Coturnix japonica: one gene and its partner. The protein of the gene in region 2 binds, or shares a complex with, the protein of the main gene of each other region. Links are inferred from orthologs where the notes say so. Each region holds a gene or a part of one and is shown on either strand. Other genes may lie near its edges.

Region 1 (2,913 bases), on a different chromosome or scaffold from region 2:
ACTGCTTGCACGACAGGCTCACGGTGGGGCGTAATGCGACCCACAAGCTGTGAGGACAGTGAGTGTGCGCGCAGCCTGACCCACTTCCAGCCAGCCCCGGGGACACACCGGCACAGGCGCACTGTGTGTGTACGGGTGGATGGACACACAGTGCCCACCCCCAGGCTGGGGTGTCTCTGGCTGGGTGTTCCCATCTAGTAACCCTGTGCAGGTCTTCCCTACACATGTGTGCACATCTGTATGTGTGGCTCTGGGGTTGTTTCCATCCAGGTGTCCCCCCCTAAGTGTCCCCACGTGGGTGTCCCTGTGTGGTCCTTTTCCAGGTGTGGAAAGGGCACTGTCCCTCTCCAGCCATCCATACCAAATGTCTCTGTGCCTGTCCCCATGCAGGTGTGCTGTTTTCTCACTGCCCCCCTGCAGGTGTCCCTTTGTGGCCATTTCTCCAGGTGCTCCCCAGTGTCCCCCCAGCAAGCAGAGTGAGGGGCACAGCCCTGTCCTGACCCCATAAGGGATAAGGAAGGTTTCAGCCTATCCCCGAGGCTGACGTGGGCACAGCAGACACGCCGGGGTGCCCCCATCTCCAGTAGGTTAGTGGGACACCCCCTGACACAGCACCACAGACGGGTTTGGGGGGCCGAGGGAAGCACACAGCTGGCCCAGAGCCTCCAGTTTATTGGTACGATGGGAAGGGGAGTCCGAAGGGAGGGCTCAGGCGGTGCCCGTGCCCTGCTGCATGCGCTTCAGGAGCTCCTCGTCCTGCAGCGACAGCTCCGTCAGCTTCTTGCCCATCCGCTCGTGCACATCCAGGTACTTGGCCACGCAGCGGTCCAGGCACACGCTCTCGCCTTTCGACAGCTCCGCCTCCTTGTAGTGTGGGGGCACGCACTTGAGGTGACACGCCTGCGTCATCCTGAGGGACAACACCGTCACCCCACGGCTCTGCCCGGCACCCCCCACCCCCGGCACCCGCACAGCCCCCGCACAGCCCCCACCCGCGACACCCACGCGCCTCTCGCTCTCCCAGCCCCTCCCTGTCCCGGGCACTACCCCCAGGCCCCGGCCCGTCCCGTCAGGCCGCGCACCGGTTGTACATGTCGGCCATCATGTCCACCTCCAGCTCTGCCGCCAGCTGCTGTGCCCGCAGCGGGTCCATGTCGCTCCCGCACCGCGCTCCCGCAGGATGCACGTGGGACGCGCTTCCGCCCACACGCTCAGGCGCTCCGCCCCGCCGCCGCTCTCGGTCAATAGGAGACGGGTGGGGGCGGGACAACGGCTCGTTCTCAGCGCTGATGGGACGTGGGGAGCGGTGCGGAGCGGGGTGGGCGGGGGCAGGCGATGGAGGGCAGGGATGGATCGGGGCCGGCCCGGCCCACGCGTGACCTCCGCGTGTCCCCGTGGGTCTGCCCTCACGGCTCTGCCCCCTCGTGTCTGTGTCTGCTACGGGTCTATGGCCCCGTGTCCCTCTATGTCAATGTGTCCCCTATGTCCCCCCACAGATCAGGGCACTCTGTGTTCCCTTTGTCACCCTTCTCTCCCATATATGTGTCCCCCGTGTCCCCTCGTGTCCCACGCATCACCCATCTCCTCCATGTGCCGTGTCTCCGTGCCCACTCGTGACCCTCATATCCCCCCGATATCGCCTCCACGTCCCCCCATGTCCTCACGTGCACGCGTCCCCCCGTGTCCGTGTCCCTGTGTCCCCGTTCCATCCCGCAGTCCCCGCTATCCCCAGGCCCCGCCCGGCCTCCTCTCCCCCCCGTCCCGTCCCGTCCCCTCCCCGCTGTGCCCCTCTCCGGCCCCCGACCCGCCCCGTCGGCGCTGACTGAAGGCGGCACCTGCGGCGGTCACACGGCCGCGGGGAGAGCGGAGAGCGGTGAGCCGGGATATGGGGCGCCGGGGGGCTGGGGGGGACGTCGGGGGTTTGGGGTGAGAAACGAGGATAGGACGGGATGGAGGGGGGTCGGGGTTGGGGGTAGGGAGTGAGTTGTGGAGTTGGGACTGAGCTGGAGGAGCTGGGAGGGGGCAGGAGGAAAACATGAATGGGGAATGGGTTGGGTTGGGGTGTGCAGGGGGGAGGGAGGGGTTTGGGGACAGGAGTGGGGGGTGGGGGTTGGGTCGAGGTGGATGGGAAGGGATAAATAATGGGGATGGGATGGGGACTGGGAGCTGTGTTGGGGCCGATGGGGTGGGCGGGCAGGAGGAACGCTGAGGGACAGAAGTGCAATGGGATTGCATGGGGTGGAAGGCACGGTGGATACTTCAGTGACAACCCTGCAGCCCACAGTAGGAGCATGGAGTCCACAACAACCGATGGAGCCCCAACCCCAAATGACACTGCCCTGGGTGACCTCACACAGACATCAACAGGGCCCACAGAGGGGATGGTGGGGGGGGACAGCGGGGAAAGTGCAGCACAGGAAGGGCAGGGGGAGGCTGGGGGGGATGAAGGGGGCGCTGGGGGGGAGAGTGCAGGGGATACGAGGATTGGGGGCGAGGTAGAAGCAGAGAAGAACTGTGGGAGTGAGGCTAAGGGGGAGGCAGTAGGGGATGCTGTGAGTGAGGTCAGCATGGCAGGAGATGCTGGGAGTGAGGCTAAGGGGGAGGATGCAAGGGATGCTGTGGGTGAAGCTAAAGGGGAGGCTGCAAAGGATGCTGAGAGTGAGGCTAAGGGGGACACTGTAAAGGATGCTGTGAGTGAGGCTAAGGGGGAGGCTGCAAAAGATGCTGTGAGTGAGGCTAAGGGGGACACTGTAGAGGATGCTGTGAGTGAGGCTAAGGGGGAAGCTGCAAAGGATGCTGTGAGTGAGGCTAAGGGGGAAGCTGCAAAGGATGCTGTGAGTGAGGCTAAGGCAGCAGGGGATGCTGTCAAAGAGCCCACAGCAGGGCAGGCTGCAGAGCACGAGGCTGAAGGGC
Region 2 (3,822 bases):
GCTCCCATATAAATATTAAATTTTTTGATTCCTGTTTAGGAAAACTTCCATTCATCTTCAGAAGTATAGATAGGCTGGGAATGAACTTTGAAAATTAAACCATTACAGTTACATTGCACAGAAAGAAAAAGTTGGAAACAATTCTCCCCAAATAATTTTCTCATTGTGGAGTAAAATTCTGGAACACAGTTATGCCAGAGACTCTTATTCCCATCATCGCTTTTAGGCAAACAAAAACCCGTAGAGTTTTCTTATCCTTCCAAGATGATAATAGTGACTTAATATATGGATGTGGCAATGGACAAATCTCCAGTAACAACTATTGTGATGTTGCAGCCAGGTTACGTGGACTCAATCTTCTCACCCTCAGCCATGCTACAATTCTCAGCAAACCAGGACAAAGCTGCAGCCATACCTCTTGTACTGTGCCATCTCCTCCTGCAATAATGATCAGATCTGTGTTTTCCATCAGTTCCATCAGTTTTTTTGCTTGTCCTTCATAATCAGTCTGAAGAAACAGAAATTCAAACATGAGAACCCAGGTGATTATTTCTAGGATAGATACATAAATGTGTGTGCTTTTAATATACAGAAGAGAAAAAGAGTAATCTACCATTTTGTTTAACAGTTATTTTCACATAAGCACATCGTACTGTACGTCTCTTATATAACATTCTCTTAAATTTCTTCAACTTAAGAAACCAGTCCTTTGCCTAATACAATGTAAAAAAATAAACACACACACGGCCTAATGAGGCTTTCACTCAGCAGATTTAGAATATCCAGCAATAATCAAATTTGCAGACAGTTTTACATTTAAATAAACCCACAAACAAACCACTCTTGCAGAAAAAAGCCTCTTTAGAGGCCAAAGTGATTGAGTGCATCTCCTGAAGCACAGAAACAGCTATATCAAGGGCTGCTGCCCAACAGCAGGCTAGGAAAGCTGCTAAAAACCAGTTTAGCATTAAGTTCTATGCTCGCTTTCTAAGTAGCAAACTGCTTTCTGCAGAATGAATGCTTTTTGCAAGGACATTTCAGACCCAGTAGTGGCATAGCTCTGTTTCACTCCCTTTCCAGATCTGAAGTTACAAAGCATTAGTTCTAATTCTTTTTCTCTTAAGCTGGACTATGTGTTTTCAATGATCAAAGAGAGGCATTAATAAAACAGCATCTTAACACTAAACAGAAGCTTAAGAAAAATATTCCAAGACAGAAATATATATATTGCAAGACATAGTGAGTACTAAACAATCCACATATTACAGCCTCAAAAACATGCAAAGAGACAGGAATCCCTTTATGTTTACTTTTTCCAAAGAAACCCCCTCAGCTAAGTCAAGCCATTTACAGCTCAGCGTTCTGCTTCCATGAATTATCTGGGGATACACTGACAAATTTTAAGGGTAAAAACACAAACTTATTTTTGATTAACTTGAAGAGTTCCACTGCACATCAAAGCTCCTCGCTTCTGCATTCTGCAAGATGAAACAGAACTGACCATTTCAGCAGCAACAGCCACGTACCACTAACCAGCACTCAAGTACCGAGAGAAGAAAGCAAAGAAGACACTATATTCCTATTCACAGAACCTATCAGTTCTCACCGTAACTATATTTACATCCAAGCCAGACAGGTGCAAAATTGGAGCAGCATTCTTCTCAAAAAGGTTCCTGGCTTTGCTAGAAGAAAATAAAAAAGGAAAAACAGACATCAGACGGGTGGCAAAAGAAAAAAACAAAAGAAAAGTAATAACTGAATAATGACAAGAAACATAGTTAAAAACAGAGCATACAGTTTATCGGTCACTCAGCCTGCCAGCCAAAGCCATTTGTCATTTGTTTCAAATGTATTATATTTCATAGTCCTATCTGATCTGACAGCTTTTTGTTGCAGTTTTAATACATGCAGGAGGTTATCTGGCTTCCTCCAAAATTAGTTTCAAAAGTCAAAACAAGATCTCCAGAAAGAAAGTTACTGAAAAACTTATCTGATCTTCTTCTGGTACAGGATTTGTGCACGTTAATGCTTGTAACTCCATGGTAAAAGAATGATTTGTTAACTATAAATTACTTAGAAGTAGAAATATGAGAGATTTAAATTTAAAGTTGGAGGCTTTGATTTATTAACATCGGGCATTTTTTAGTCATAGGTGTTTGTTGTAAAGGCACACAATTCCAAACACTTCTATAACAGATATGCCATCCCTATGGTATCTGTACTGAACCCCCCAGAGGTGCAGCTGAGAAGAAGCCGAGCTGATGAGCAGAATCAGACATGCATCATATCCAAGATAACTTTTTTTTTACTAATGAGTATACAAAAGCAGCAGCTGACCTCTTCCAGGAGTCTTGCTCTGAACCCATATTTAGCCTCCAAGTTTGTGGGCACATCCCTTTAAAGGACATGTTCCTACAGAAGTCAGATCACTGAGGCTAACGTCAACTCTGAAAGAAATCAAGGCCAACTTTCTATGGTTTTTGAGGTAAACATGCCACATACAAAGGGATGTGGAGAAATGACAAAGACTCAAATGCAGGATAAAGTATTTGGAAATCATTCTTTCAACTTGAGCATCTAATTCTGTTTATCATCCCAACATCTTCAGTGATACATACTTTGGCATAGTTAAGCAGCAGCAGCTTGGCATCAGAGGGGGACAAAAACGAGCTCAAAAATTGGCCAGTTTTTATAGTGAATGGCACTTAGATGTACAAAAAGGAGAGCAGGGGAGGGGGAATTTTACCCTTTGCAAGCTGCTGGATTGAGGAACACTGTTGCTTTCTTCAAAGGCATATTGGAAGGAATCAGTTCGTTGCCAAAAACCTGAACAAGAGAAAAAGAGCACAGTTCCGTTTAAGAACGTTGGTAAGGGAGCTCAAATTAATTAAAATTTTTATCTTGAAGAAGGTGGACACGGTGCACAAAACACTGTAGATTTTAGTGATCATCAGCTGCTTGAACTCAAAAGGACTTTCTCTCACCAACTTTGTTCAGGAAGCCTCTGCCATAGAAACATTCCAACTTCGCCAAGGAAGTTGCTGTGAGCAAACAAATGGTCAAAGAAATGGCAACAAACCAACCGTTCTGTAGTTTCACTCCCAAAACAGGTAAAAGAATGATTCTGTATTTTACCACAGTTGTTAGAGGAGCAGGATTGGGAAAGATACGACATATCACAGCTGTTAGAAAGGATTATTTACTTGGAAGAGCGCAATGTGATGCATTTGCCTGCTCTAAACAACCTGAACAGGCTCATAAAAATGTACAAGTATTGGCATGACTGTTTCTTTATGTAATAGATGAGGACATTTATGTTACATATGGGGGCACTTCCAAAGCAAATTCTGATTTTCAAGACAGGTAATAGAAAAAATAATCATGCAACATCCTTTTAAGTTTTGCGATGTCAACTTAAGGCCGGAGATTAAAAATGATTATTGAATAGATAAGAAGGTATAATTTCAGAAAGGCAATATCCTTTTCAGCTCCTTGTTAAATGCATAAATCCAGGCACTGCATTTCTGGACTTCTAGGATGAAACTCACTACTTTGCGATTATGAAAAACCCATTCTATGAGGCTTAACAATGCTTTATGAATGCAGAGACGTGATGTGCCTTTACAAGAAACTATCCCCACTTGACAGACTAACCAGTTTGCCACATAAGCATCATCTATTTAATACATGCCCAGAGCTCAGTAACATCAGCCAGAGCCCACATCTGTGAAGTCCAAAGTCAGCTGACACTGGTTTATTCAAGAGAAGGAGGTGTAAGAGGTTTTCAGTTTTGTAAATGGGTTCTTTATTGTGGAAGCCTTC

What was found.
Region 1: the proteins of AGK (region 2) and TIMM10 are in contact, whole or in part, in a cryo-EM structure (PDB 7CGP), measured with the Homo sapiens proteins. The link is inferred for Coturnix japonica from reciprocal best matches to the Homo sapiens genes AGK and TIMM10. Residues at the interface, in NP_060708.1 of Homo sapiens: Phe49, Gly50, Asn51, Gln52, Leu53, Ile54, Pro55, Pro56, Val60, Ser91, Gly92, Met93, Asp94, Val95; in NP_036588.1 of Homo sapiens: Glu40, Glu42, Leu43, Ser44, Lys45, Gly46, Ser48, Arg53.

The regions. Positions count from the first base shown.
Region 1 is NC_029520.1:7,775,144-7,778,056, forward strand, and holds TIMM10 (mitochondrial import inner membrane translocase subunit Tim10), read right to left. Parts: upstream 1,222-2,913; 5' UTR 1,154-1,221; coding exon 1,083-1,153; intron 911-1,082; coding exon 709-910; 3' UTR 622-708; downstream 1-621. Other genes in the region: SMTNL1 (smoothelin-like protein 1), read left to right, coding at 2,181-2,913.
Region 2 is NC_029516.1:55,072,326-55,076,147, forward strand, and holds part of AGK (acylglycerol kinase, mitochondrial), read right to left. Parts: intron 2,827-3,822; coding exon 2,747-2,826; intron 1,683-2,746; coding exon 1,607-1,682; intron 509-1,606; coding exon 416-508; intron 1-415. UniProt on the Homo sapiens protein: Lipid kinase that can phosphorylate both monoacylglycerol and diacylglycerol to form lysophosphatidic acid (LPA) and phosphatidic acid (PA), respectively. Does not phosphorylate sphingosine. Phosphorylates ceramide.